Linked DNA regions of Lonchura striata. The protein of the gene in region 1 interacts with the protein of each later gene in a pairwise test. Links are inferred from orthologs where the notes say so. Each region holds a gene or a part of one and is shown in the gene's direction. Other genes may lie near its edges.

Region 1 (7,516 bases):
CGCCGCTCCCCGCCCCGGGTGCCGTCGGCCCTGGGCTGCCCGCGCCCAGCCCCGCACCCCCCTGGATCAGCAGCTGCTCCAGGTCGGCGGCCGGCGGCAGCTTCAGCAGCGGCAGCTCCGCAGCCGACCCCAGCGCGGCCTCCGGGCCGCCCCGGGCCGCCGCCGCCCCGCCGGCGCTCCCGGTCTCCGCGGAGCCCGCGGTCGGCGGCGGGGCGGCGGCGGCGGCGGGCGGCGGCGGCAGCAAGCGCAGAGCCGCCGCGCTGCCGCGGGCGCCGGCAGGCGGGCGAAGGGCGAAGGGCCCCGGGAGCGGCGCGGGGGCGGCAGCCGGCAGGTCCCGCTTCTTGCCGGCGCCCAGCAGCAGCTTCTGCCCGGCGGCCGCATCGGCTCCGGGTCCGCCGGCGGTACCGAAACCCGGCAGCGGCACGAAGTCGGGCAGCAGCTCCAGTCCTTCCTCGGGGTAAAACGGCGCCTCCATCTTCACGGCGGATCGCCCGCTACGCCCGCCGCTCATGCTGCCGCCCTCGCCGGCCGGCGGCGGCTCCGGCGCGGGGCGGGCCGGGCTGGGCGGCTGCTCCGCGGGGCCGGCCGCCCTCGGCTGGCAGCGGGGACTGAGCCGCCTCCCGGCGCCGCCGGACCGCGCCACGCCCCGGGCCCGCTGCCCGCCCCGCCGTCGCCGCCTCCCTGCTGCCGCCGCCGGTCCCCCCCGCCCGCTCCTTCCCCCGCCCGCCGGGCGTGCGCGGAACGGCTTCCCGGTGGGTGTCCGTGGGGAGCCCGCGCTGCTCCTCCCCCTCGGAAACTCGCCCCGCGGCTGCGGTGTGGGGAACAAGGCGCTGCTGGGGCCTTCCTCCGTGAACGGGGGAGTCTTCTCGGGGCCATTAGTCCGGCCCGAGGACCGGGAATTCTCAGGAGGAAAGCGAGCAAGGGCATCGCGTGGCGGCTGCTGGGGCAGGTGCCGGTGCGTTCCGTCTGTGATGGATGGGCACAGGATAGTGCAGGTGTCGAGGACTAGTGATTCTCAACAACACAGTGCTGGGAAGTCTGACGGGAAGTGCTTGGCCATCATGAAAAACTCCAACTAGTCAAACTAAAAGTCACTCAGAAGATGAAGGCCATGAATTTGATGATTTGATGTGGCCTTTTTTCCCTGGGAAAAAAAAAAAAATTAAGAAAAAGAATTTGAAACATCCTAGACATATTTCCAACATTTTCAAAATTACTGAAATGTGAATAGCATTTTTCAGTTTGGAGGTTGTATTTATTTGTTATTTTATTCAAGACAATTGCCTCTGCCTTTCCCCAAGTTTTTCAAATTCTTATGGGATAAGGAAATTTCTTTCTACGCAGTCTTTTCTAAATCCGTTTTGCTTCAGGACACCAATGTGATCCTGACAGAGCTGCTGAAAGCTCTGCTTTAAGTCTTTAAAATCAGCTTGGTGACTGATGGTCTCAGTGGCTTATCTACACATTCACAAGACCTTCTCATCTGTGATGGACCCCCTCAGTTAGGTGTCACCTTCTGCAACCTACTCATGCTTTCATGCTTTCTCCCCAGGCATTTCCTTCCTACATATCAAGACCATGTGCCTCTTCTCACAGTGTCTAGAGAAGTTGCTAAGTTCTGCTTTTAGCACGATCTGTATGGCCATGCTTTGCCCCCCTGTTCCTAAAGTTCATTCCAAAACCAGCAGTGGAGGAGGAGATGGACAGTGGTATCAAGTCCAGGACTTTGACTCATAATCCCTCTTCAAGTCCACAGAACTGGAGTCTAGGTGCACTGAGGCTTTGATGACCTTGACTCAAGCAAGTACTTTGGGGCTGCCAATTCTTACGTATGGGTGCAAGAGCTCCTTTTCAACACTGTCCAGCACCTTCAGTCCCTGCCTGGCTGTGTCACAGGTGTCACCCTCTTCTGCTTCATCTCCTGGGTGAACCTTGGACCTGTGTTTCCAGTTCTGTTCCTGGTACCATCTCCTGCTGCTCCTACCTGAATTACCTGGGTGGACCTGGTTCATCACCTCACCGTGTGTGGGTGTGTCCATTCGTGCCTGCCGTGCTCTCGTGCTGCAGGACTCTGTCCAGGCTGGTGAGCCTGGTTCTGGTCACCCCTAGCTCATTTTGCCATGGGACAAAGCCCAGCTCTTCTGGTTCTTGAGGCTGTGGCAGAATTGCTGCCCAGAAAACTGGCAACAGAGGGAGAAGAAAGCCATCAGGCACAGGCCAGGGACAGAGGCATTCACATGGGTAGGGGAGGAGTAAGCATGTTTTTCTTGGTGAGGAAGGTAGTGCTAGAAAGAGCTTATTTTGGTTTCCTTGTCTCTTGGCTGACCTAGCAAAAGAGGCAGCAGAGCTAACAGTGCTCAGCCAACAGAGTACTGAAAACATCTCATGTGAGTGACTTTGTGGAAGTATAGATTAAGCTGCTGTACAGGCTTTTCTGTCATATTCCTAGGCAAGCAAGTGGCAGTGACTGGTCCCTTCCATCAGCTGGGCAAAGAGAGCTGTCTAGGCAGAGAAGCCACAGACTCCAAGCCAAGGCAAATAAACCTTATTTTCTTTCCCTCACAAAGCAAGTGTAGACGGGGAAAGTAGGCTGAGTGGGGTCAGAGAAAAAGCCATGGAGGTTAATTTAGGTCTGGGGTTATTGTCAGTGAATTTCTAGAATATACCATTACACTTGACTGGGGTGATCCTAAAGGTAGGTTCCTTCGTCATTCCTATACAAAAACTGTCACTTATGTAGGACAGTTTTAGTTGTTGATCGAATGCAGAGTTCAAAAGTGAGCCCACAGAATGGTAACATGTTGAAACTGCTCAAAATAAACCTATTTGTAACAACAAATGGATTTGTTGAGACATCTATCTACTGTCTGCTGATGCACCTGCACACTACGTTTAGGCGAGTGACACGGAGTTGTTTTACACGACCTTAATGCAACTGTGTGTTATAGCAACGTGGTCTTCCCGTTGTTTGCTTTTGCCTTTCCACCGCCCCTCCTTTTTATAAATTTTTTATTCTTCTCCCCGAAGGAAGCCAGAACCTCCCGCGGGGCTCACAGCGCTGGGGCAGCCATCCCCGGCCACCACTGTGGGCACGGCGCGGCCGGAGCGGCCTTGAGGGAAGGGACGGCCGCAGCGCAGCCCTCGGCCCCGGGGCTGTGCCTGGCGGGGCCGGAGGCGCTGCCCTGCTGCGGATGGGGCGCGGAGAGGCGCTCCCCAGATGGTGCCGGATGGGGCGGACGGCGCTGCCCAGCTGTGGGTGCAGGGTGTGGGTAGCACTGCCCAGCTGTGGGTGGCACTGCCCAGCTGTGGGTGGCACTGTCCAGCTGTGGGTGGCACTGCCCAGCTGTGGGTGCGGGGTGTGGGTAGCACTGTCCAGCTGTGGGTGGCACTGTCCAGCTGTGGGTGCGGGGTGTGGGTGGCACTGTCCAGCTGTGGGTGCGGGGTGTGGGTAGCACTGCCCAGCTGTGGGTGGCACTGTCCAGCTGTGGGTGCGGGGTGTGGGTGGCACTGTCCAGCTGTGGGTGCGGGGTGTGGGTAGCACTGCCCAGCTGTGGGTGGCACTGCCCAGCTGTGGGTGCGGGGTGTGGGTAGCACTGTCCAGCTGTGGGTGCGGAGTGTGGGTGGCACTGCCCAGCTGTGGGTGCGGGGTGTGGGTGGCACTGCCCAGCTGTGGGTGGCACTGCCCAGTTGTGGGTGCGGGGTGTGAGTGGCACTGTCCAGCTGTGGGTGCGGAGTGTGGGTGGCACTGCCCAGCTGTGGGTGGCACTGCCCAGCTGTGGGTGCGGGGTGTGAGTGGCACTGCCCAGCTGTGGGTGTGGAGCGGAGGGCGCTGCTCAGCCTGTGGAGCGGAGCGCCGTGCCCAGCTGTGGGTGTGGAGCGGAGCGGTGGTGCTTTGCTGTGTACGTCAAGAGGAGGGCTCTGCCCAGCTGTGTGCGTGAAGCGGAGGGCCGTGCTCAGCTGCGGGTGTGTGTGGAGCGCTGCCCAGCTTGTGGAGCGGAGCGGCGGCGCTCTGCTCCGTGTGTGGAGCGGAGGGCGCTGCTCTGCTGTGGGTGTGTGTGGAGCGAATGGCCCTGCCCAGCTGCGGGTGTGGAGCGGAGTGGCGGCGCTCTGCTCCGTGTGTGGAGCGGAGGGCCCTGCCCAGCTGTGGGTGTGTGTAGAGCCGCGGCGCTCTGCTCCGTGTGTGGAGCGGAGGGCCCTGCCCAGCTGTGGGTGTGGAGCGGAGGGTCCCGCCCCGCGGCGGGTGCGGGGCGGGGGCGGAGCGCGGCCCCAGACGGGGGCGGAGCGGCGTGAGGAGGCGGCCGGATTGGCGAGCCCGCCGAGCGAGGCCCCCGCCCCGCCCCGCGCGCCGGCGCGCCCAATGGGCGGAGCGCGGCGCGCGCGGCTACCGCGAGAGGTTCCGTTGAAGCTGGCGCCGCCATCTTGGAGTCGGGAGAGGCCGCGCGTCCCGTTCCCGTCCCTCTCCGGAGGGCCACGGGCGTGGGGGGGGGGGGGGTCCGCGGGAGGCGGGGGGAGCATGGGCGCCCTGCGGTGAGTTCGCAGCGCCCCGCCGGCTCGTCCATCCCCGCGGAGGGGCCGCGCCGCGGAGGGCGCGGGGTTGGGCGGGATGGTGCAGTCCTGTTCCGCCTACCGCTGCCGGAACCGATACGACAAAGAGAAGCCCATCTCCTTCCACAAGTGAGCGCGCGCGGCGCCGGGGCGGGGTCGCGCCGGGGAGGGGCGGGGCCAGCGCGGGGCCGCGCGCGCGAGGGTGGCGGGGAGCCGTGAGGGAGCGCGCGCGGGCGGGCGCGCCTCACGGTCGGGCTGAGGGACAGGGGGACAGACCGGGCACAGACAGACAGGGGGACAGACCGGGCACAGACAGACAGGGGACAGACCGGGCACAGACAGACAGGGGGACAGACCGGGCACAGACAGACAGGGGGACAGACCGGGCACAGACAGACAGGGGGACAGACCGGGCACAGACAGACAGGGGGACAGACCGGGCACAGACAGACATGGGGACAGACCGGGCACAAACAGACAAGGGGACAGACCGGGCACAGACAGACAGGGGGACAGACCGGGCACAGACAGACAGGGGGACAGATCGGGCACAGACAGACAGGGGGACGTGTCCCCTCGCTGCCCCTGAGGCTGGGGTGCCTTGCCCCCCGCCCCGGAATCTCCCCTGGGGAAAGCCGGAGGGACGGGACCCTCGGAGCCGCCTGTTGCAGAGCGACAGCGAGCAATGAAACCCCGTTCCCTCCTCACCCCGATGAGGGGCAGGAAGATTTTTGGCTTCGTTTATCAAGCTTTCCAGAAAAGCTGAAAGTGCCTCTTGCTTGCAGGTTTCCTCTTACGAGACCCGATCTTTGCAAGAAGTGGGAAGCTGCTGTTAAGAGGAAAAACTTCAAGCCGACCAAGTACAGCAGCATTTGCTCAGAACATTTTACCCCCGATTGCTTTAAGAGGGAATGCAATAACAAGCTCCTAAAAGAGAATGCAGTGCCCACAATATTCTGTTACACTGAACCCGGTGAAAAGGTATCGCTGGCTGGGGGGCTATGTACAAATCACGGACGGGACGGGACCGCTGAGGAACGTGTCTCAGGCTGTTTATTTTTTCATATCAGTCTTATTACATGGTTTTGACAATGGGGATACAATACACAGAGCTCCATTATTAAGCTTACAGCTTCCTAATATCTCAGCAGATATACTTTTCTACAGGAGTTATTCTACCCAAGCGTTAATACACAGACCGTAGTTATATTTGTCCTTTCTACTTCTTGTATAATTTTTCTGCTGACAAATCTTATAGCTACTGCTTACCTCTAAATCACCATCCTGCTGTCTCTTTTTACCTACCTTTTACAATGTGCCTAAAACCCTCAGACTTTAAAGAATCCCACAAAAAGGTAAACCCAAAGGACCCATGCCTGCAGGTGCTAGGACATATTGTGTATGTCATTGGTTGCAGCGTGGCAGGGCAGCGAGCAGGGAGAGATGTAGGCTGGAAAAGGATGGAGGCTGGCAAGATGCTGGGCCTGGGGTCACCAGCAGGGCTGTGGTGACTGAAAACACCTCCAATAGCGTGCTTGTTTTCTCTGAGGCTCTCTGAGGCTTTGGATCACAAACTGTTGTACAGGCAGACACTGGCTCTGACCTGCTCGTGTGTCTGTTTATTCAGCATCCATGTGCTGAATTAAATGGAATGGCAGCAAAGTAAGAAGGTGTTGCCCTGTAGTCAAACTATTCCACAGTAATTCCTGCATATTCAGGGTCTGAGAGCCATCATTAATGCTTGCAAATGGCACTTGCTCTCTTCCCCTAACCCTAACCATTGAAGACATGGTGGATGTTAACTGTGAAACTTAACCAGAGGGCTGTGCTTTGGCTTTGCAAAGTAAAAGTGAGCGACAGAACCTTACCTGCACCTGCTATCTGTTTGTCCTGAGAGCACCTCTGTCTTGCCTTAACATTGTTTTCAAAAGCCATACTTGTCCCTGACTTCTGAGGGTAGAGGCTTCTGTGTGAGGTGTTCTTCCCTTCACTGTGCCACTAGAACAATTTACTGTGAGATGCAGGTCACTTATGAGTTCTCCTTGATGTAATGACTTCAAGACAAGAATGGAAAAGACTGATTTTTAACTCCTTTAAAGGATATAAAACATTTCATCTCTTTCTGCTCTGCCATAGAGAAAGTGGCAAAGGAGACAGTCGTAGATAGAGTAGGTTTGGGGAGCAAAAGACTTAAATGGGATGAAGTGCACAGAGTAAAACTCAGATTTTTCTTGTTCAATTTTTCTCTTTATGTAACATGTTGGAATGTTGCAGAAATAAAAAGGCTACACATTTGAAAAATGAAAAGTGGCTAATAACAGATAAGAATATAAACAGAATGTAAACAAGGAGACAGACAACTTACAGGAAAATACAGTTGTGTTTTTGTTTGATTGCACTTCCTTACTTATCTGTGAAATACACATTTTCTTTGTTGTGTGTAGAATACTTGCAATTTTTTTTAGTCTGAAAGCTGAATGGGTGTATAGGGTAGTCTGCAAAAGCACTGTTGGTGCAGCAGGATTAGTTGTGAGACACATTTCCAGTTTTACTGTCATACCTGGATCTACAAAAACACAGAAGAATGAGTGCCTTTTAATTCTGAAGGATTTATTTCTATTTTTATTTGTCTCATGGCACTTTTGAACAAACTGCCATAAATCTTCAAGTAACATTGTAATAGCAAAGAATAATTGTGATTGTTTTGGAGTTGAATCTACATGGATTTTGAAATACAGTCACTCTGTGTAATTTGGTATACTTTATTTTTCTTTACTTATGTCTTAGGAGAAGTACTTATTGTCTAGAATAAATAATTAGAAGTCACTGCTGATGTCATAGAGTTACCAAAGATCTCTGTTCTCTGTGATACATTGTGACCATAATAATTTGTATATAGAGGTAGCATATACACTATAGCTTCAAATAGAAGTCTCTGTGAATTCAGCAGTCCAGCAGTGATCTGATTTTT
Region 2 (7,869 bases), on another chromosome or scaffold:
TGTAGATAATTTATTTATAATTAATGTAGACATCAAGCCCCATCTCTGGAATGCCTGTGAGCTTTCATTTATAATTGGGAGGTAAGTCAGGAGCTAGAGGCTTGGCTCTTATCAGTTTCATTTTAATTTTCCTCCTACAGCAAATGAAGCTGGTGCAATTCATCTCTCATTAGGAGGAAGCACAAAACTCCCCTAAAATAACAGTTTTATGGGGAACAGGTAATAAACCCATCTTTGTTCCTCTTCTTGCCTTTGATAATGTTACTGGGGCTCACAGATCCCTCCGAAGTGTTGCTCTTCCTTAAAAATAAGTCCATTAAAAATTAAAACCACTTTCCTATATAATAAAATTTACTCCCTGCAATTATGCAGAGGAAGCAGTTATCGGCCTTCTGTAGATTTTAATTAAAAGTTACAATAGGAAGGAAATAACAACGGCCATAAAATAACAGCAGCCTCTCCCCTACCGATGATTTATTGGTGCCTCTGTGGCTCAGGTGCCTCTCCAAGCGATGCCCGATGCTGGTGAGAGGTGCTGGGGCCAGCAGGCTCCAGAGCAGTGCAGGGAGTCCCTCTTTTCCTCCTGCAGCTGTGGGGGAGTTCCTGCACCCATGGGTGCCCAAATGGGTGCTGAGCTCAGCTCTGACCCATTTGTGCTCTTGTTTCTGCACCCCAGTTAGAGAATGGGGGTGTCCTGCCCACGGTGCCCGGTGCCAGGGGTGGGGTTAGGGTGAGGTTTAGGTTTAGGGTGAGGGTTAACACTGCCCTGCTGATGTGGCTGTGCAGATCCTGGGGTGCAAAAGTCCAGCTCTGTGGGGCTGGGGGGGCACAGCTTCTGCCCATTCAATCCCTCAGGGCACGGGGGTCCCAGCTGAGTTCATCCAGCATCTCCGAGTCCTTCCCTGAGATGTGTGTTGTGGCAGAGTGGGGCTGTGGGAGCTGCATCTGCCTGGCCCAGATATTTTGCAGAGCTCACAGAGAGACCATCAAAGGCGGCTCACACTAAAAATAGCAGGTGCCCAGGCTGGCACAGGGGCTGCTGGTGGGAACGTGGCTCCTCCGTCACCTGCAAACATCTGCTGATGTGGGAAGAGCTGCAGCAGTGCAAAACCTTATTCCATGTCTACAACAGCTCCTCCAGAACGCAAACCTTTGCTTTTGAGGACACCTCTGAATTCAAACATGGGTGTTTGTGGGGTCAGTGCCCCTCGCCCACGCTGGCTGTGGGGTTGAACTTCCCATCTGGCCATAGCTGGGTCACTGCTAATTGAGCTGATGAGAAACAGGTGAGAGCCAAACGCTGGGGCTGGTGCAGCTGCAGTCCCCTCACGTCAGCTTTTTGCTCTCCTGGCTCTGGAGCTGCTGTGGTGTCACATCCCACACCCCACAGCCAGGTCAGCAGCGTGTCTTGGCAATCAAGGTGAATTGAGGCACCTGGAGCCCAGCTGGGCCCCTGCAGCCAGGCTGGGCTGGGGAGCAGTGCTGCCCTGAGCAGGCTGCAGGCAGGGGCACTGCAGCCTGCTCAGCTCCCCGTGGGCTGGTGCTGCCCCGTGCTGTCGTTCCTTTAACCAGTTACGGCCGTCAAGTGTTCCACTTCTGGTCTCCTCATTGCCTTCCCTGGATCCTGGCTGTGAAGGTGCTAAACCCCCCCTGATCTGGCTCTGAAGCGTTTATGAAATCTTTATGGCCTTTTGAAAAGATTTTAATTCCCTGACAGCGCCGCTTTCACTGGGAAAAAAAAAATAAATTATGACTCAATGAGCAATTACAGCTCAACAGCTGCTGAACGGCCACGGCAGCTGCCGGAGCAGCTTGGCACGGCTCAGCGCGGTGGCCGAGGAGCCAGAGCCTTCCTGGGAAGTGGTGCTGGGCCTGACCACCCCACATTCACCTTCCTTGGCTGGCTCAGCCCCTGAGCACAGCCCCTCCTCTGCCCTCTGTCTCCCACGGCCTCTGTACCCAGCAGCTGAGCTCTGCCTGGCGCTGGCCGAGGAAGGAGAGAGCTCCAACTGCACCTGGAGAGATGGGCACTGCAGCCAGCTGGTGCTGTGGGACCCCTGTGGGTGTTGCAGGAAGGAATCCTCCTTCCCTGGGGTCCTGTGGTGATGTTTCCCCCCTCTCAGCCCCCTAAATTATCAGGCTAGCCCACAGGTCCGAGGCTGTGAGGGGAGGAATATCAGGAGATGGCAAAGATTTCCAAAAGAGGCTCTTACTCCTGAAATACTTGGTTCAGCTCTCTTTATTCTGTGATGTCCATAGGGACAGCAGGGCAAAAGAGAACGAACAGGAAATGTCAGGGGTCTGTATAGAATTTGGACAGGGTGGGCTTCCCTGGCTCTCCGCCAACCCTGTCAGGGCAGGAAGGAGGGGTCCAGGGTTATCCTGATCAGAGTCACAGGGTCCTGGGAAAGGGGGCACAGAGTGCCCATGAGCTCACTGTAACACTGTGGTTCCACATTTGGGATTGGCAATGTCTCGAAGCATCACGTCTGGGACAGCTTGTCACACCTACCCATCGCCTGTCCCACTGGAGAGGTGCCACCACAGTGTCCCTGGGCAGTGCCAGCACCTCCCTGTGTGGGGGCATGTCAGAGCTGCCAAAGGATGCAGAGCATTGGTCTAATTGTAAAACTCCCTGTTTGCTGGAAGCAGAGCTGCTGAGCTCCAGAGGCATGAAGAAAGAGGAAGTGTTGCTCTGACAGTGCCCATTCCTTCCTGGCAGTGCCCATTCCCTCCCAGTTCCCTCCCTCCTGGCAGCACCCCATCCTGTTTCCTCAGAGGCTCATTTCTGCTGCTTCAAGTGCACAAAATTGCTGCACAGAATTGAGAACTGGGTCGGGAGAAATTTTGTGAGCAACTACAGTGTGATGGAGGGGCTGGATGTGCTGTGCCTTCTGCTGCTCTGTCCCACGGCACTTCAGGGGGCTGCAGCTGGAGATGACCTTCTCTTTGTTTCGAGTTTTGTCTTCGGCTTTGGAGATATCTGCAGCAAACCAAAATGTTTGAGGGTGACCGTGGTCTTGGCACAAACAGTGTCTTAGGGATGAAGGGCTGCCCTTGGAAGAGGGAAGCCAGAGTTCGCATGGAGGGGAAGGAATGCATCCACACTCCCCAGTGCTGGAATGCTGGGAGCTGTGGGTCAGCCCTCACCTCATCCCTGCACTTCTTGATCCCCACACCTGGCAGGGGAGTACAGTCCCTTTCCTGCATTTTGCTGGAGGCAGGAGGAGGCTGAAAGGCTTAAAGTAAATGAAAAATGTGTGGAGAAGCCCCAGCCCTGCCTCTGCTCCTTGGAGAAGAAGGCTACACCATCATCATCAAGCTCCTGACAGCCAAGGTACAGTAAAGTTTGAGATCCATTAGAGTGCCTGTAATTATTTATAGGGAGGGAAAAAAAAAACCCATCCTACATTGTGAAAATCAGATGGCACAGCAAACAAATGCACTGAGCTTTGGCAAAAGGGCTCTGAAAAGCCAAAGTGATTTATGGTGAGCCAGGACAAGGCTCAGTGGTGCCACACTGCTGCTCCTGGGGACCTGAATCTGACAGCAGCGGGGCAAGGGACTTCTGGTGTGGACAGGTAGGATCTGCTGCTCCTGGGCCACCTGCTTGTGTTGCAGGATCTCCAGACCCAGAAGTAGCTCAAACTGGGACTCCCCGCTCCTGGCTTCTCCCTCCCTGGCAGCTGGTGGCCCTGGAGCCTCCTGCAGGTGTGGGCACCTGTGGGCTCGGAGGGGTTTGGAGCAGCACGTGCTCTGCCCCACTTCTGCAGCCTCCAGCCTCTGCCAGCGGCAGCTCGGGGCCGATCACACCTCTGCCTCTTGGCACCAATTCCGTGTTTTAGTGGAGGCAAAGCAGTGAGCAGGCAATTGCTCTGGCAGACAGGAGTCCCTGGGTACCTGCTCCAGAGGAGAGCTCTCGGCCAGAGCACTTCCCTCCCAGCTGGGCTCCAAAGTTCAATTAGCAGTTTTGGGAAGTGCTTTGAGATCCTCTGCAAAGTGTCCTGGCGGAGGGCAAAATGTGATTATATAACGTGTCTAGACAGCGTATTCCTTGGGGCGGGCAGCAGGATGCTTTTATATCTCCTCTCCTGTGTCAGCACTGTGTGGCCCTGCTGAAAGGTTCTGGGAGCTGCTAAAATATTAACAATGATGACAGCGACAGGCCAGCTCAGACTTTTGCACTTAAAATTGTTGATCTTAGCACAAGGCTAAGCATGGCAGCAGAGGCGCCTTTGCCCGGCGGCACCGTGCGCTCCCGCTGCGCTGACTGAGGAGCAAACAGCATCTCCGGGCAGGCCCCCTCCCTCCATCCCGCCCTCGGTTCCTCTTCAGCCTCTCGGAGGTTCTGCCCGAGGTTCTGTCCCTCCCTGCTGGGCCAGGGTCGGAGAAGGGGTTCTGCCATCCGCAAAGAGCTGCAGCCCCCGGCGATGCCACCTCCGTGGGGAGCCGGGCTGTCTGCTGCCGCTCAGGGTGCGGGACTGGAGACCCTCGTCCTGAGACCTGACCCGCCATTCTCCGGGGCGCTGGTCGCACACGGCATCTCAGTACCCTGAAATTCAGGTGCCCTCCCCACAGCCCCGCGGTGTCACCTCCCTTTGCGCTCCTAGCCGCGCACCTTACCGACCCCCAAAGCCCCTGGGAAGAGCCTGGGGAGTTGCCCTGTGTTCCCCCAGTCCCAGCCCGGGGCAGCCGTGAGCGAGAGCGGGGAGGATGCCCCCGAGCCCCTGCGCCGCTGCGGGATGCAGCTGCGGGATGCAGCACCGGGATGCGCCGCCGCCGTTCCCCCTCCCACTCCGTGCGGGAGCGCGGCGCCGAGGGGGGGTTGGACCGCGGCGGCGCGCGAGCTGCCTTCATCCCCCCCCTTCCTCCTCCTCCTCCTCTTCCTCCTTCTCCTTCTCCTCCTCCTCCCCGAGCGCGCTCGCACGGCCGGGAGCGAGAAGCCGCCGGGAGGATGCTGCAGACGGCGGCGGAGCCGGGCGGCTGGGCAGGTAGGGCGGGCGGGGGCGGCCGGGCTGCCGGTACCGGCGGCCGCGGGGCCGGGCTGCGGACACGGGGAGTTGCAGGCTAAGGAAAGTTGCGGGAGGGGGGAGATGCGCTGGAAGGGCCCCGGGATTCGGGATCGGGGCCGGATGATCGCCCGGGGCAGGCGCCGCTCCCCGCGCTCCATCCCGGCGGCGCCGGGCAGCGGGGCAGGGGCGGCGGGGATGGCGGAACCCCGGCCCCGCTGACCACCCGGAGGGGTCAGGCTCGGAGGGAAACTTCTTGAGCGGAACTTTACCGAGGCCCCGGCGCGGCCCCGCTCCGGCGCGGGGCTGGGGTTCCCACGCCGAGCGGGACCCGCCGGTGCCGGTAACCCCGGCTCGTCCCCGCCGGGTGCGCGCACCGTGGGGTGCAGGCGTGGGTCCCCCACGGGTGTGTGCGGGTCTGGGGTCTGCGGCAGCACCTGGGCGTGAGCGGCGCTGGCCCGGGTATGGGGCTCTGAGCAGCCCTAGCCCGGCTGTGGGGTGAGCAATGTTAGCCCGGGTGTGGGGTGAGCGGTGTTAGCCCGGCTGTGGGGTGAGCGGCGCTGGCCCGGGTGTGGGGCTGAGTGGCGCTGGTTCAGGTGTGGGGTGAGCGGTGTTAGCCCGGGTGTGGGGTGAACAGTGCTGGCCCGGGTTTGGGGTGAGCAGTGCTGGCCCGGGTGTGGGGTGAGCGGCACTGGTTCAGGTGTGGGGTGAGCGGTGTTAGCCCGGGTGTGGGGTGAGCAATGTTGGCCCGGGTGTGGGGTGAGCGGTGTTAGCTCAGGTTTGGGGTGAGCGGTGTTAGCCCGGGTTTGGGGTGCGCAGTGTTAGCCCGGGTGTGGGTGAGCGGCACTGGCCCGGGTGTGGGGTGAGCGGTGTTAGCCCGGGTGTGGGGTGAGCGGTGTTAGCCCGGGTTTGCAGTGCCCGGCCCTGGCCCGGTTTTGCGGTGCCCGGCCCTGGCCCGGGTTTGGGGTGCCCGGCCCTGGCCCGGTTTTGCGGTGCGCGGCCCTGGCCCGGGTTTGGGGTGCCCGGCCCTGGCCCGGTTTTGCGGTGCCCGGCCCTGGCCCGGGTTTGCGGTGCCCGGCCCTGGCCCGGGTTTGCGGTGCGCGGCGTGGCCCCGGTGCGCGGCCCAGGCGGGGCAGGGGGCGGTGGAGCGGTGCTCGGCCCCGCCGGGCCCGGCTGTGCCGCTGCCGTGCCCAGCGCACCCTGCGTGTGCCCCGGCTCCTCGCAGAGCTCCCGGAGCTGCAGCGTCCGTGCCGGGACCGGGACTCGAGGAGCTGAGCTGGGAACGCAGCCGAGGCTCTGGCGGCCTCCACGGGACTCTTGGCTCGGAGGGAAAGGACCTTCAGAGAGCTGCACAAAAGCGCTTTCTGCTGCCTGTGGCTCCGGGTGGGAGCAGCGGGATCCCCTGCTCCAGGCATGTGGAGGCAGAAGCAGATTGACCTGGTTCTCCCCTGGCCATTACCAACAGACTTTGTTGTTAGCTTGGAGCAGCAGCGAGTTATGGTGGAAGCTTTTAGGGAGTTTGCATCGGGGTGGGCAGGGCTGGGGCTTGCTCTGCCCCAGAGCAAACCCCACGGATCCCGGCACAGGGACGTGCCTGTGCCCGCCCCTGGCAGCGCCGTGGCAGGGCGGTGAGTGCCGATCCTGCGGGATGGGCGTGTGGGAAAACAACATCTTGGCACAAGAGGCTGCGATTTGTTTTCGGAGCAAGATTTGAAAGTGCTGCTTAAATAGAAGAGATGATTCTCTGTGGAGGTGAGCAGTCTAGAGCCTGGAATTGCACTCCTGGAGGCTGTTAGGGGCTTCCAGGTTCATTCACAAGTGTGCAGGGATCAGCTCACTGGCATATTGCTGCTAAAGCTGCCCCTGCAAGGACTGGATGTGTCTGTGGGTCCCACAAAGTATGGCAGCACCTTTTCCCCGCAGGGACGAATTTTGGGTGGAAATGTGAGGCAGGAGCTGGCCCTGCCCTGCTCAGTGCTGTGCGCACATTGGCTTCATCCCCTGGTTACCTGGGACCTCTGAGTTGGGAGTGGAGATGTTTGTGAGCTGCTGTGTCTGCATGTGGGGCACGGTGCCTGAAAACAGCACCAATGGGCAGTGTTACTGTGTGTGACAGCCTGTGGATAAATGAGCCTCTGTCCCGGCTGCCAGCCTGGCTGGGAGTTTCTTCAGCCACCACCATCCAAATCCACCACCACTGCCTTTTTTTCCGTGACTGCAGGTGTTTTCCAGTGGAGCATCCAGCCCAGAGGCTTTGCTGAGTGATGTTTGTCACTTGGGTGGAAGGGCTCCGTGGGGATGGAGGAGCCGTGTTGGTCCCTTGGTAGCTGCCAGTGTGATTCTCTGCCATATGCAGAGTTCAGGGCAGGGTGCTTGTTCTTTAATCTGCCACATGCGTTGGAAAAAAAGGCTGGTGTGACCCTGGATGTGGCTCCGGCTGTGAGCCCAGAGCCAGGCTCTGCGTTAGCAGGGCTGTGGCATCATGCCAGGCTGTGACTTCTGCTGCGAGTCTCGTACACGAGCATCCCTGAGCTGGCATCCCTGAGCTCCCGTCCCTGAGCTGGCATCCCTGAGCTCCCACTCCTGAGCTGGCATCCCTGAGCTCGAATCCCTGAGCTCCCACTCCTGAGCTGGCATCCCTGCGCTGGCATCCCTGAGCTCCCGTCCCTGAGCTGGCATCCCTGAGCTGGCACCCCTGAGCTCCCACCCCTGAGCTGCCATCATGCTTGGCCGGGGCTCCAGAGTGGCTGCTCTCGCTTCCCAAGTGCTGCTTAAGTCTGACAGAGCAGCAGGCTCTGTATGGAGAGATCAGGAGGCTGCTGTAACAGTCCCAAGAGTAAGAAATATTTCTGGGGGCTTG
Region 3 (7,592 bases), on another chromosome or scaffold:
ATTGGCTGCTAAGGACAGGAGGTTTCAAAGGAGTCAAATCCCAGTTGGTATCCTGCAGCCATCTCCAGGATCACACAAAATCTGCCAGGTAACTGCTGAGCCTGTCACCATGGTGGGTTTGACACTTGTTACTCAGCTAAGCTTTAAAGGACAATTGTGTAAAAGAGTAATTGCAGCTGCTCAGAACTGGGAGGCTTCGATGTGGGTGGTTCTGTGCAGGAAAATAAACCTATCCTGAAAAGCAATCATCAATCAAATGCTTATTTAAATGAGCTTTGCATTGGAGTCACCACGACATTAACAAAAAAGTGATGTGGAAGCTCAGAAAATCTCACACCTCGACGTGATTCATCTTCCAGTAAGATGTGTGTCCTTACTGGCTCTCTAAAGGGAAGAGAAGTATCTTCATGGACTCCATAGCTACTGGAGAAGATAAATCAGAGTTTTTATTATTCCATAGTGGCACAGGTAGAAGGGTCAGGGAGGTGTACAGAGATAATAAAGCACCAGGAACAAATCTCGTTTATTAGGTGTTTGGGGAAGATTCAAATTACTGCATTTTCCCACATTATTCAATAACCTTATTCTCTTGCTTACAGGTGAAGGAGGATATTGGGGATTTTTATCTTCTGAAGCAGAGCTAAAGTGGAGAGAAAATGAGATGTCTGGATTAAATGTTAGAAAATATCTCTAAATCTGGAAAGACCAGAGTGGGGTCCTGGACTCTGTGCAGCAGACTTTGCTCTTGTATTCTCTAAGCACTGTCACCGTGATATCTGGAGTACTGCTGCTCCCTAGAGTAAGGAAAACAACCTTTCATCTGAAAAATCAGGTGTCAAGCAAGAGCCAGCCATGTCACACAGCTTTTATTTCCTCCTCTGTTCAGTGGAAGGATGTTTTGTTCCGATATGAATGTGCTACATGGTTGGGAATGGAATAATTGCAATGTAATGCTCAGACATTAAAGATTCTCAGCCTACAAAATGCTAATCTTACATCCACTACCATCACATGGAAAAATGAAAGCAGCTTTAGTCTTGTCTCTCTTATGTCTCTCTCTTGCTCCCCAGAGAAGCAAGCTGTTTTTTCAATAACCAGAAAAGAATTAAATTAGGTTCTCAGTCAAGAAAGAATTTCGCTTTATAAAAGCAGGTAATAATGAATGAAAAGACTTCTTTAACAATAAACCCCTCTCATCAATTGGGAGTTTGTTTTAATCTGGTTTGTCATTTTCTCTCTTGTGCAGAAAATGTCACATTCCTCTTGTCCATCTTAAACAGTCAAAAGTCTTAATTTAGAACTGTTGATGGGAATTTGGAGGGTGATGTTCTCAGTTCCAAGATGAAGAGCCTGAAAATGCAGGAGGCTGAAGAGCACAGGTTTAAGCCTGTCTCCACCTCTGACAAAGCCAGAGCTCACCCTGGGCAGCACAAGGGCCTGGGAAGCTGCCCAGGGAAGAAAAACATGCCTAGAGAATCTCCCTACCTCTTTAATTTGCTGGCTCACGCCCTCAAGCAGCACCAGTGCTGGTCTTCGATTTGGATAAGAGGAATGTAGATGTGAGGATCAATGTTTCCTCCCTTTCAGCTGGTCTTTTATGGCACTTCAGTGCTGGCTGACAGGCAGGGGCTGTATGATCCCTCTGCAACTGCCAGGATGTTTGAACAGCTTATCAGCAAAGGGCAGAGCATTGCCAGGGTGTGCAAAGGCAGCAAAGCTGACCAACCACCGAGTCCAAGGGCGCTGCAGAGCTCACCGAGGAGCTGCGGTGCTCTGAAGCCTTCCAAGGGATGCACAAAGAGGTGCTGGAGACTCCTGGCAGCCCTTCAGCTCTCAGGGGAGTAGAGTTTGACCAGGTGCTGCAGCTCTGTGGCATAGCCCGTGACCGGGCAGCGCTGGTGAGCCTTCACGTAGCCGTGGGCGCAGCGGTAGCAGAACACGAAGCCGGAGGTGGCCAGGGCCGTGGCGTTCACGCGGACCTTGCGGCACAGGGGGCACACGGTCCTCAGGCTGGGCAGGAGAGCAGAGCCGGGCTCCTGCTCCAGGTGCACGGGCGGTGGGGGCGTGGGCAGCGCTGTCAGGGACTTGATGGTCTCCTGGTTTTCTGAGGAGTACCACCAGTCCAGGAACTGGAGGAAGAACACGCTGACGGACAGGCCGGTGGACAGGGAGAAGGCAATGCCAGCCAGAGCTTTCCTCAGGGCCAACTGCACTCGTGAGATAAAGCTGGAGCAGAGAGAAGCAGGAGAGGTGGTTACTACTGCACATTTATCCATCTAGAAACCATGGGAAAAGCACCTGGGGAGTGACTGCTTCACACAGCTCCTTAACGCTAAGTTAGTTGGTCAATGCGTCCCCCTATTTGCACTTACTAGGATGTTTCAGATACTTTTTTTATTTTAAGGAATATCCAAATGCTGCTTTTTTGAGAAGTCTAAATCAGAAGAATTTGGATTAAAGGATCCTGGACCACAGAGTGTTTCACTCCTGCATCACAGGGTATTGAGTGTGCCCATGACTAACTGCTGCTTAGGAAAATCAAAGAAAGAAGTTTCAATCCTTTCAGCAACATTGCTGCAACTGTTGCACCTCCTTTGCTGGAAAAGTGCAGGGGAAGACTGAACAGAATAAAGGCTTCCATGCCCAAAAACGCCCCCAAATTCTGAAATATTACCACAAAATAGTTTAAAGCTAATCCCTGCTACTGGTTTACTTATTTTCACTCACAATACATCCTTTTGGAGCACATTTTGTCAAGAGCAAACTTTCATCTTGAATTTTTGGAGAACAAGGCACTTGTACTTGCAGCATCATCTCTAAATTTACATGCCCACAGAACCCCCTGGAGAGCAACACCTGAGCCAGGTTCTGCCATACCTGTGTGTTTGACTTGAGGTGGTTTCAGCCCATTTCTTCTCCAGGGCCTGGATATCCTCTGCAGTCAGCCTGACCAGGCGGACACCAGCCAGCTTTAGCATGGGGGAATGATGCTCAGCCTTGCCCAGGATGTAGCAGAGCTGCTGGATAAGAAACCAGCCCTCCCAGGTCATGTTTACATAGGGGTAGGCAGCTAGAAAGGCTCTGTAGAAGCGCTTCCAGGATGAGGAGGGAGGGTGGATGGAGTACTCATCCTCCTCCCTCAGGCTGGACACCAGTTTCTCCAGCTTCCCTTTCAGATAAGGAACAAGAACCAGCAGGAGCAGAGACTTCCAGTGCTGCCTCTTTGGCAGGCCAGCTGTGGCCAGAGGTCGCTGTCTGCCATCTCCCATTGGGATCCTCTTCATGCTGTAGAAGTTCTCAGAGAAGGATGCACTGCACCTGGCCAGGGAGTGCTGCTGGAGCAGCAAATCCAGAAGGACATAGATCTCATCAAACCAGTGCCAGAGGAACCCATACCGGGCAGGATTAGACTCAGCAAGCACCTGTTGGAAAAGGGACACAAAACAGGAGGAATCAGAGTGGTCTGGGCTGGAAGGAGCATTATAGATCATGCGGTTCCAGCCCGACACCTTCTGCTATCCCTGACTGCTCCAAGGCCCGTCCAATCTGGATTTGAACATCCCAGGGATGGGGCAGCCACAGCTTCTCTGGGCAGCCTGTGCCTGAGGAAGGGAAGGATGTAAAAAGCAGAGTAAAGCGCTAAATTATAAATCAGAGCAGCTATAAACGATGCCTCTCATTCTCACCATGTTATAAACGAGAATTTATTCAGCCAGATTAAAAATAAAAATAATTTTATTTGCGGTCAAATTCTATCTAGCCAGCCACACAGAAAGGACAGAGCCGAGCCCGGGATCGACCCTGGGTGTGCAACAAGGAGTCAGCCTCAGCAGAGGTTTTCTCCTATGCCCACACCTCCATCCTGGTACAAGCGGTTTTTATAGGGAAAATTCCGCCTGAGGCCAAGATTCCAGCAGTTAGTCTTTTCTTCTATTCAGAGTCTATAGGTTAATAAGATTTTCTTTTTTTGGTGATGAGGAGAAATAATTCAATGTCCGGAGTAGTTGAATTCTTGATGAGAGTTTACGGGAAGGCTGCATTCACATGGATCTGTCTGAGGATTTCCATATCCATCTTGGACGATCAGCACCGATGATCAACACCTGGAGCCCAGCCATGGCCCAGCTCCTGGCCGAGCCACATCTTTTTACTTATAAATCAGTTTCCAATATACACCCAGTCTCGCCTGCAAGGGTGCGGGGCGAACTAATACGACGGGCATGATTTAACAAGTATTCAATATTACATATTTCATACAAGGAATGGCGCAAATTATATTTATTACACATAACAACCACAATTCAGGTGGCTCCCAAGCGTCCCGCTGCCCCTGAGCGCGGCCGGAGTCACACGCCAGCCCCCCCTCCTCTCCCTTCACCCGCGGCCCGCCTCGCCCTCACCTTGACCAGGTGCTGCAGGGCGGGTTTCACGGCGGCCATCAGGCTGTCCTGGGCCACCGCCTCGAACACGGACGGCCGCTCCTCGCCGGCCGGGGCGGCCGTGAGGTGCGCGCCCAGCTCCGCCATGCCGCCGGCCCGCCGCCCCGCCGCCAGGGGGCTCTCCCGGAAGCGCGCGCCGCGCGCCGCCGCCGCTCTATGGTGGCGGGGCCGTCGCGAGCCCGCCCGGCCCCGCCGCTTCCGGTTCCGCCGCCGCCGCCCCCGCAGCGGTGAGTGCGGTCCGTGAGGGGGCCGGGGCTGAGGGCGCTGGGAGCGGCGGCCGGGCGGCGGGGAGGGGCGCTGGTGGGGAATGAGGAGGGGCTGAGCGGGTGCTGGGAGGGGATCTGGGAGAGGGGAGGGCGGCGGTGGGGTGCTGCCATAGGGTGGGGAGGGGTGGGTGGGGGAGAAGCTGTGAGGTACTGGGGTGGGGCGGGGAGAGAGGGATGCTGCTTAGGGACGATGGGAGGGGATACTGGGGGGCACTGGTATAGGTGGGAAGGGGATACTGGGAGAGATGAAGGGTACTGGGAGGGACACCTGGGGTGGGGTGGGAAGGGGCACCAGGGGGGTACTGGGAGGGGGTGAGTGCTCCTGGGAGGGGGAACTGGAGTGGCGTGGGGAGAGTCGCTGGTCAGGCACTGGGAGTGGTTCTGGAGGTGGACTGGAAGAGGATGGGAGGAGTGGGCAGGTGGTTGCAGAGGAGGTGGAGGGGTGAGGAGTGGGGTCAGTGGGTCCTGGGGTGAGGTGGGGGTGCTGGAGGATGGACTGGGATGGGAATGAGCACAGCAAGGTACTGGGGTAGCAGTGGGAGCAGTTAGGGATAAGGGCTGGGTACTAAGAGGGACTGGCAGGCAATGCTGGGAGGGAAACTGGGATTTGTGGGGAATGTGCCTGCAGCTGGGGGATCCTGGGAGAGATCTGGGGAAGGTCTGGTGGGCAGGGGGCTTAGGGGGATGCCAGTCTGGAGTGTGGGTGGGTGCTGGGAGTCCTGCTGGAGGTGTGGGAGGGGCTGGCAGCAAAGCTGGGATGGGGCTTCCAAGGAATGGTGGTAGGTGGTAGGAGGAACAGGTGGAATGGGGACCACCAAGGGGGTGTTGCGTCTCCAGAATGGGAACAAAATCCTTGTGCCAGCACAAGTTCAGGGCTGCAGAGCAGCTCTTCCTCTGCCATCCATGTTCCATTGTTGTGTTTATCTTCCTGGTTCTCCAGTGGCCCTGGGCCACACTTGGGCTGTCACACAGCTCCTTGAGAGGCTTTCCAGGAAAAATGGGTGGCACCACTTACACTGGAATTAAACCAGGGATCAGTTGAGAGATTTAGGGATTGATGGTTTCAGTGTCCAGGAGCTTGCCTTAATCCAAGACCCTTAAACCTGTCACCCTCCTGTGTGGGGTCAGTGCTGGGGAGCGGGTGAGGCTGCCTGGGGTCATGTGTGGGGTCAAGCAGGTGTTGGTCAGACACAGGGTCAGGTTTTCTGTGTGGGTTGGGGCTGAGGAGGCTTATCTTGCTTTGGTTCAGCCTACACTGAAATATCAAGCCACTGTTTGTAGCATTAAGCATTGCTGGAGCTTTCTGGAGCCATTCCTCATTCTCATCTCTTCTCCTTTGCTGGGGTTGGATCAGGAGGAGCCTTTTGCTGTCAGCTTTGAACACCTCTTACCTGTTTCCATCTCAGCAAGTGCTGGGCATAGAACAATAGTGAGGAGGGGCAGTCTAAAGTAGATTTTTCTTCTGAAAATACAAGGCTGTTCTTGATGTTCTAATTTACCTTAGCTCTCCTGGGTTTAGATTTGCGTACAAGGAGCTGGCATTTTCTGCAGTGACACAAACAGCAGTGTTTTAAATATCTGGTTCCATTTGCTGTAAAGAATGCTGAGATTGTTAGTGATGAGATAATAGCCAGTGCTGCTGGCAGGCTGTCTCTGAACAGTGTGCAAAGCAAGCTCTGACACACATGAAGCAGCAATCTGTGTGCTTGTGAGAAAAGGAGCTTTACCCTCTGCTGCACCTGGAATAGGGCAGGCTGGTTGTTGACCTAAGCTCTCATTTAGATCCATGAAAGAAGGTTGGAAAGGCATGAGCTGTGCTTAGCCCTGTCTGAGCGTTTCTAGGATTCTTCATGTTTCCAAGTATATGAAAGGAGAAAAACAGCAAAATATGTTGCACTTGAGGTTTAACAACCATCTCTGAAAGCCAGCAGGGTTCCTTCCTCTCTGTGTGTGGCTTTATTCAAATGGGCTGATGTTTATGGTGTTTGGGCTGGGTTTTTTTTCCCTCCCCTCCATTTTCTCTCTAATCTGCTCTGGCCCCAGTTAAAGCTGTGTTAGAGCAGCTCAGCTGAGATGTGACCCTGGATGACAAATCCCCACATAATGCAAACATCAAGGCCACGTTCAGTGCTTTGGGCATGGCACTGTGCCAAATACTCTCACAGAGAAAAACATTTTAAGTCTTCCTTTTAAGCTGAGCTCAAACCTGAAGGACTCTGTCAGCAGTAATATTGCAGCTGAGCACAGGCTCTGATTTTAATTACAAAACAAGCTTCACAGCAGCCTCTGCTTTCAGGGGGGGCTGTTAGATTTTTGCTGGAAGAATTGCATTCATTGTGGCTCACATGGCTTTCCCAACTCTGTTTTGGAAGGAGGTTAAACCTCCTCTGCACCAGGAATGTGTTTCCAGAGCTGTCTCCAGGCTTGGCAGGAGCAGAAAGGGAGAGAAATCAAACCAAACCCAGTAATTCAGCCTAATTGGATGAGGTGGAAACCAGGTGGGCACAGGGCAGGCAGCAGCTCCAGGAAACTGGGAAAAGCAACAGGTTGATCCTCATGCAGATGTTTGGCAATTGGAAAGGATGATCCCAGGAGAAAGGGGTGGAAATTGGGGCATTGCCCGTCGGCAGCTGCTTGGAATTCAACTGCTGAGGTGTTCAGCTGGTCCAGGTGGATGGGGAAAAATGGAATGGTGATGGCATTGGGGTTGGTGAAGGGATGAGGGAGGAAGGAGTTAAGGAGGAACAATCTGACTTTGCTGCTGGGCAGTCCTGGAGTTCAAAGCTGTGCTGGTCCTTTTGTTGCTGAGCCAGCAAGACCTGCAGGGTTTAGAGGCAAGACAAGGCAGCATTTAGAGAACAGATGATTTACTGCTTTGCTGGCAGCC
Region 4 (7,524 bases), on another chromosome or scaffold:
CGTTCTACGTACCTGTTGTACTGCAAATGCTTTTTTAAATTTTTACTTAGAAAGTCCTTGTAAAAGTCAGCCATTTCTTCTGCATTCAGTGTTGCTTTTTGACCTGAAAATAGGTTTTGGTGTAACAAAGTCAAGGCAATTCTTTGGATCAAGACTGTGGGTTCAGATGCTAGGTCTAACTCCTTACTCCTACAAGCTTTCTGTTAAACCTCAACAAGTTAATAATATGTCTTTAACTTTCAACCTTTTAAAACTTATCTAGAGAGCACAGCAGATGAAAAATACTGATCATCTTGAAGTTGGCATAGCTCTTAAACACCCATCACTTGTGGAAGTAACAAAGTTTACCAGCTCTTAGACTACTTAGGGAACCAGTGAACCCTATTAAAATGTGCATAGATCTAGGAGTATCTATCCTTTGAATAAAATAATTTCTCACAGTCTGAAGCCTAAAGAGTACCAATAAGAGCATTTAGTAACAATTTCCCCCCTAAAGCAAGTCCATAAATATCAAAAGAACACTATCCACAATTGACATGGTATTTTCAAATGTAATTCTTTTTATATTGCTGTTAATAAATTTCAAGTAACTGCAGGCAAAAAGTTTATGTTCTGAGATGTCAGATTCCAAACAATCTAGTAGGCAATTATTTTGAGAAGAAGGAAATACAAAAGATGATTTTGAATATGTCACCCATAAGCAGAATATAAAAGGTCCAGGAAGACCTATGGCTACAGCATAAGATGTCTAATCCTGAGAACCAGCAAATATTCTCAATTCTACCAGACAATTCCTACACAACCCTTCTGGCACAAAATGTCCCTAAAATGACAGTCAAATTTCAATGCCCTAGAGAACATGGATATGATGAGGGAAATGGAATTGCAATATTCAACTTGTTACAGTTCCAAAATACATTTTAAGGCTCTTGAGATTGACCACAGAAATGTAAATTACTGATTGGTTCTATTTGTCATTATTTAAAAACTAATATATCACAATGTATTAACAGACAATGGGACAAATTAACTATAAAACCATTTGAAGGCTGCCAGTTTAATACTTATAGTTCATTTGTTTCTTCATACTGGTATCAGCAAAACTGATTAATTACATAGGAAAGCAAGTTTCATTCACTCTTCATTAATATTTTCACAAACATTCACAGCTATATTATAGAACAGCTGACCAAAGGCATGCATCTGATATAGATTTATTTTTACTGGAAGTATGTGGTCTTTTACTTCTAGAGTATAAAAGCAAAACAAAAAACCTAACAAAAAAGCAATATAAAAGAAGTGGTTTTGAAACAACATATATCTTAATTAAAATTACTTCTCAAGCACACACTGATCACCAGAATACAAACAGAAAAGAAAAATAATGGTCTGTGACATACAGAACCTCAAAGCAGATGCTTCCCTGAACTCAAACAGATCATTATTCCGTGAACAAAGTGTTCAACCTCATACCACAATGCCCAATTCACGATTATTATGAAGGCATTTTGTTTTCATTTTCGCATAATGAATTAGAGAGACAACTATTTTACAGCAACTGTGCCCAGGCAGAGACAGGCAGATAGCAGCTGCCAGCTCCCCAGAAGCTGCCTTACACTCCCTCAAGGAAAAATATTGCATTCATTGGACACACCACGGACCTGAAGCCAAAGACTCTGAATTTAACCGCCCAGCCATAACATGCACTTGAGGCAAATGCTCTGTATGTTTATGTCAGCCAGCTCACTGGCTTAGGAGGTGTGAAAGTAAAAAATCCTTCCCTCCTTAGGCTACATTATTATATCACTGGGCTAGGATTTCAGAACATTCCTTCTGGCTGTGGGGAAGGAATTAGGGGGAGAGAGTGCAACAAATGATCTGACCCCCACATGCACATCTCTGAAAAGCTCCTTGTCTCTCTTATTATCACACTCCTGAAAACATTTCTAAATCCTACCCCTAAGATTTACTTGTGGCAGAACACAAAGAGCATAAACTAACAAAATTCAAAGTTAAACAAAATTCAGAATGCATCCTAAACTATTAACAAAGATCTCACTAACCTGATTCATCTCTCATTTCCAGACCCTTGGCTTTCAGTCTTGAATAAATAAATTCTTCTTTTTCCTAAAACACGTTTTTCCACATTAGAATGGGATGCAGTCAGTCCTTGAAGTTAACCATTGTTTTTAATTACATAGCAATGTCGTGTTCAACACCCTTTGAAATAACTAGCAATACTCGTTACACTTGGAAGTGTCAACTGAACACTTTTCTTAGTCCAGTGAGTTAGTTAAAACTGGTCACTTTGCTCCTGCTACCTGCATGCATCAATTAATGCAAATGTCCTACTGATACTTATAAAACTGATTTGTGAAGTAAAGCTACAGACAAACTTCAGTGCTGTTCGACAGGAGTCAAACTTTCAGTTTATATAAACTATGGAATGTGCTGTATGACATAACTGAGATTTTGAGCATAGAGGAAAAGGTGCAGCCTAAAAAAATTAAAACTATTTAGATGGAAGCACAATAATCATTTGTGTGTGTTTCATGGACTTAAACAGTTTTTTTAATACCACAGTTATGTGGTATTAAAAAAAAAAAAAACAAGATTCATTTTGTTCTGGGATCTTTGCAAGTTTTGAGAGGATATGATGTTCAACATCATAAACAGTGGTGAGTTACTGAACTGTTACTGTTCTTCCAAAAAATGCCACATTGGCTGGGAGATGCTAAAATCAGGAAAGACACTCACTTTAGCCTTGCTAAGATACGCTGCCAATGAAATGGGACATATTATTTACCCTCATTTAGTCTTTGTAATTACACCAAATTTCTCTCACTTATGACAAGAGAAAAGCCAGCCATGGAATAATTTTCATCAGCTGCTCTAGTCAGAGACAGGTCTTGCATGTAGGGCAGCTACAACTTTATACTTTCAGTGCAAGACAGGAAAAAGGTAAACACTCTATGCCCCTAGGCAGCAATAAAACGTGGACTTCTTAGTTTTGTGCATCATTTAAATAAATGAACGACAAACCCGCCATTTCCTGCATGACCCTGAGCGCATTAACAGCGGGCAGAGCTGCGCCCCACCTCAGAGAGGCCGAGCCCCCCAGTTTCGGGCAGGCAGGCGGGTGCTGAGCAGCAGCAGCAGCAGCAGGTGCGAGGCTGTGCTCACCTGGTGGAAGGCGCGGTTGTGCCGTGCCCAGAAGCGCTGGTTGCTGGCCTGGGCCTCCTGGCGCGCCTCCCGCAGCCGCCGCTCCAGCGCCGACTCCTCGGGGGGCACGTAGAAGATGATGGGGCGCAGGTTGGAGAGCTTGTCCGGGGGACCGATCCAGTCGCTGTGCGAGTGCGCGGGGGGACGGAAACCCGGGCCCTGTGGAACACAGACACAAGGTGTGAGCAGCACCGCCGCAGAGCTGCTGAAGAACGTCTCAACTCGGAATGAATGCCCAAACGCCTCGGAACCTTAAAGCGTGCAAGCGTAGCAAGTTCAGAAATAAAGCACATTTGTTTACTGTGACCACAAACAATGGCATACATTTACAATTTACTTTTACTTACAAATGCACTACAAGACCTTTAACTCTTACCATGAGCATAAATCGTGAGATATCTTTTTCTGTTTTAATTTTTCTACCACTGATACTCTGTTAAAGTATTTCACGGAGGGAACTAGCAAGTAAGTATCCAAGTTTTTTACAACGCTGATCTCTGCCCTCTGGTGACCAATGACAGCACCCGAGGGAACAGGGTGAAGCTGTGTCAGGGGAAGTTTAGGCTGGATATTAAAGGCTCTTCACCCAGAGGTCATGGTCACCGGAACAGACTCCCCAGGGATAGGGTCACGGCCCCAAGCATGACAAGCTCAAGGAGTTTTTGGACAACGCTCTCAATGGTCCGATTCTTAGAGCTGCTCTGTGCAGGGCCAGGAATGGGATTTCGGTGATCCTTGTGGGGGCCTTGAAACTCAGCGTATTTTATAATTCTACGATTCTAAGTTTTCCTCAGCCCGGTGTTCTTCCTGCTTTCATGTGCCCACACACAGGCGTGTGCCTGCCCCAGCCGGGTTCAGGAACACCTGGCGTTAGCCAACAGCCCGAACCTCAGCGCCCCTCCAACAGCCAACACCGGGAGCCTCCACAAACACATCGAAAACCAGAGGCCGCGGGCACCGCGGTTTGCCACGGCCGCCCCCGCCCCGCCGGCGTTCCCGGGAGGAGCGGAGCGCTCCCCACGCAGGGCTCCGCGGGGCTTCCCCCGCAGGAGCTGCCGCCCCCCGCCGGGTTTACCACGCTGTCCGGCCGCTCGGAGGAGGAGGAGGAGGCGGCGGAGGAGCGGGAGCGGCGGCGGTAACAGCCCCCGGCCCGCAGCCCGCGGGCGGCCGCCATGGCCCGGCGCTTTCCGGCGCCGCCGCGCGGGGGCCGCGGGCGGGGCGGGGCTCGGTCGGGGCCGGGCCCGGAGCCGCCTCGGCCTCCGCCTCCCCGTGCGCGGCCGGGCCGGGCGGGGCTCGGGCGCTGCGCGGCGCTCGGCCCGTGGCGCAGCGCCGGGCCGGGCAGCGGGGCCTCGCCGGGCGGCGGGTGAGTGAGGGAGCGGCTGCGGCGGGTCGCGGGCGCCGCGCGGGTTCGCTGCGGGGCCGGTGGGGACGGGCCTCCCGCAGGTGCCTCGGCGGCGGCCCGGTGTCGTTTCCTCTTCGCGGTGCGCCGGGCCCCTCCGCGGGGGAGGCGGGAGGTTGCGGCCATGGAGGGGGCGGCGAGTCCTGAGGGGCAGCAAGGTGTGTGCGGGAAGGAGCGCTGCTCGGCGGGTGCGGCGGCCGGGTTCGGCCGGGTTCGGCCGCTGTTCCCCCCCTCGCTGCGGGCTCTCCCCTGGGCTGCGGGTGCCCTGTTTGATCTGCGGCGGCTGCAGCTGCAGAGCAGGTGGGGAAGGCAGGGCGGAAGGCTGGGGGTGAACATCCTAGAGCTGGGCGTGTGGCAACTAAAGCGTCCCCCCTTTGGAAAGGTGTGGAAAAATTAAAGGGTTGTGAAACATCAGCCAAGTGGTTTATTTGTATTGGTGAAGATACTTAAAATAGCTGTAATGCTGAAGTGCTTCAGAATGTAAAAGTTGCGATGTGTGCTCGTGTAGCGCTTAAGTCTTGTTATCGTTTTCCTTGTAGTTCATCTGAAGCTGGACGAGCGAAGAGGAATGGATATGGGTAACCAACACCCATCCATAAAACGGTTACAAGAAATCCAGAAAGAAGTCAAAGAGATTGAACAGCAAGTGGCTGGCTTCAGCGGTCTGTCCACCGACCGAGATTACAAGAAATTGGAAAGAAGCCTTACGAAACAGCTGTTTGAAATAGATTCTGTAGACACCGAAGGGAAGGGGGATATTCAGCAAGCCAGAAAGCGAGCTGCCCAGGAAACTGAGAGGCTGCTGAAGGAACTGGAACAAAATGCAAACCATCCGCGCAGACTGGAAATAGAGGCTTTATTCAAGGAGGCACAGTCACTTGTGGAACGCGAGATCACGGCTTCTTACAAAGGAGGAAACCGTATAAGTGATGAATTTGAAGAAGGAATTCAGGACATTGTGCTGAGGCTTACACAGGTGAAAACTGGAGGCAAAGTTTCTCTACGCAAAGCGAGATACCGCACTCTGACAAAGATATGTGCTGTTCAGGAGATTATAGAGAGTGGTCTAAAGCAACAGCTGTCCCTGCCACTCTCTAATGATGCTCATCCTTCTGTCTCCAAAATTAACTCTGTAATGTGTGAAGTGAACAAAGCCAGAGGAACTCTCATTGCACTTCTAATGGGAGTGAGTAGTAATGATACCTGCAGGCATCTGTCCTGTGTGCTCACAGGCCTCATTGCTGATTTGGATGCTTTAGATGTCTGCGGTCGCACGGAAATAAGAAACTACAGAAAGGAAGTAGTAGAAGAGATCAATAAATTGCAGAAATACCTGGACTTGGATGAAGAAGCAGATTCTAGTCATGCTTATGATTTGGCAAAAAATCAGTCTATTCTAAAAATAGAAGAGATCCGTAAGAAGATGAAGGAAGTTCATTCCTTACTTCTAAAAACAGAGAATGCTTCTGATTTGTATCTGGGATCCAAAGCAGAGTTGCAGGGACTAATTGCCCACCTAGATGAAGTGAGTCCAGGAAAAAATCCCTGTATTAGAGAGGCCAGGAGAAGAGCAGTAATTGAAGTTCAGACTCTTATAACATATATTGATTTGAAGGAAGCATTGGAAAAAAGGCAAATGTATCCAGAGCAAACTGCTGCTGAACATCAGTCTCATAAAGCAGTTTGGACTGTACTTGGAAACTTGTCTCAAATTCAGAAAGAGGTGATTTCATTTGATGGAAACAGAACAGATAAAAATTACATGAGACTGGAAGAACTTCTTACAAAACAACTTCTAGCCCTGGATGCTGTTGATCCGCAAGGTGATGAGCGGTGTAAGGCTGCTAGGAAGCAGGCAGTAAAGCTTGCACAGAATATTCTTTACTATCTGGACATGAAAACAGATGAATGGGAATACTGAAACAGCCATGGCCTGATACAGAAGAACATTTTTCCCTTTGGCACTTTATGAAGATCATTGGCAGCACATAATAAAGTCTTCTGTGCTTGCTGAAATCATGGAAATTGCATAAGCAGTTGACTTGGCTATATGTCTGCTATCCCACGCAGTCACCCACTTGCCATGGCAACTGTCAGTACACCATCAGCAATTCTGGTCACTGATATAAGCAAAGTGCAATTCTCTGAAGGAATAGCTTAATACTTGATCAAATAGCTTCTTCTTTTTTCTCTTTTTCTTTCTTGTTTTTATTTCAATTGCCTTGTGCAATGTTTAGTGAATGCAGGCTTTTCAAAGACACAGAAACTTCCTTACGGTACAGTACTGGCAAAACTATTTAAGGAGACTTGAAAATTAGTGAACGTGAAAATTAGTATTCAGGCATGAGGCTCCATCCAGCAACTTCACAGCAGTCTGGATGTACTGTTAATGTGCTGTCATGACATAAAGTTCTAAGGACAAAAAGCCTGCTGGCTTTTGGATTGTACTTGATTTTTCCCATCCATCATGCCATCTAGATATCTCAGTTAATGGAGCTGTAATGCCAGCTGCAAATTAGCATTTACATAGGCAAAGCCAATTATGTCAATTTTTGTAATACCTGAGACCTTTGATTTGCAAAACCAGGTCTTTTGTTGGTGGAAATTCTTTCAAGTTATTGCTTTAAGGTACTGAGACTTGGAGAGGAAAATCTGTACGTTTATACCAAACACATAAAGGGGATTTTGAGGATTTCAAACTGCCATCCATAAACCCTTGAAAACTGCACTGAACTTTATTTAGGCTAATTAGGTGTCTTTTTAAACTCTGCTGTTGCATCTGGTTTTCACATTTGGCGAAAACATAAAAAGAGACTTCACTTTGAAGTGAAATGTGCATTTTGGAATTATTTTTGTAAATTAGGTAGCCAGCTATAAAGATGTCACTAATGATATAAGTGTGT

The links.
Region 2: the proteins of THAP1 (region 1) and ZNF385C interact in a two-hybrid assay, tested with the Homo sapiens proteins (3 studies listed by BioGRID). The two-hybrid records come from large-scale screens. The link is inferred for Lonchura striata from reciprocal best matches to the Homo sapiens genes THAP1 and ZNF385C.
Region 3: the proteins of THAP1 (region 1) and AP2B1 interact in binary tests that used the Homo sapiens proteins (3 or more experiments, as listed by UniProt). The two-hybrid records come from large-scale screens. The link is inferred for Lonchura striata from reciprocal best matches to the Homo sapiens genes THAP1 and AP2B1.
Region 4: the proteins of THAP1 (region 1) and BAG5 interact in binary tests that used the Homo sapiens proteins (3 or more experiments, as listed by UniProt). The two-hybrid records come from large-scale screens. The link is inferred for Lonchura striata from reciprocal best matches to the Homo sapiens genes THAP1 and BAG5.

The regions. Positions count from the first base shown.
Region 1 is NC_134642.1:4,505,241-4,512,756, reverse strand, and holds the start of THAP1 (THAP domain-containing protein 1), read left to right. Parts: upstream 1-4,501; 5' UTR 4,502-4,603; coding exon 4,604-4,674; intron 4,675-5,330; coding exon 5,331-5,526; intron 5,527-7,516. Other genes in the region: transcription factor Jun, read right to left, coding at 1-511. UniProt on the Homo sapiens protein: DNA-binding transcription regulator that regulates endothelial cell proliferation and G1/S cell-cycle progression.
Region 2 is NC_134627.1:6,449,614-6,457,482, forward strand, and holds the start of ZNF385C (zinc finger protein 385C), read left to right. Parts: upstream 1-4,866; 5' UTR 4,867-4,954; coding exon 4,955-4,991; intron 4,992-6,660; exon of another isoform or gene 6,661-6,745; coding exon of another isoform or gene 6,746-6,761; intron 6,762-7,869.
Region 3 is NC_134622.1:5,985,522-5,993,113, reverse strand, and holds the start of AP2B1 (AP-2 complex subunit beta), read left to right. Parts: upstream 1-4,591; 5' UTR 4,592-4,666; exon of another isoform or gene 4,667-4,675; intron 4,676-4,715; exon of another isoform or gene 4,716-4,739; intron 4,740-7,592. Other genes in the region: PEX12 (peroxisome assembly protein 12), read right to left, coding at 1,827-2,226, 2,878-3,422, 4,401-4,526. UniProt on the Homo sapiens protein: Component of the adaptor protein complex 2 (AP-2). Adaptor protein complexes function in protein transport via transport vesicles in different membrane traffic pathways.
Region 4 is NC_134608.1:10,005,181-10,012,704, forward strand, and holds the start of BAG5 (BAG family molecular chaperone regulator 5), read left to right. Parts: upstream 1-4,513; 5' UTR 4,514-4,585; intron 4,586-5,160; 5' UTR 5,161-5,189; coding exon 5,190-6,542; 3' UTR 6,543-7,524. Other genes in the region: COA8 (cytochrome c oxidase assembly factor 8), read right to left, coding at 13-103, 2,064-2,127, 3,184-3,381, 4,298-4,396. UniProt on the Homo sapiens protein: Co-chaperone for HSP/HSP70 proteins. It functions as a nucleotide-exchange factor promoting the release of ADP from HSP70, thereby activating HSP70-mediated protein refolding.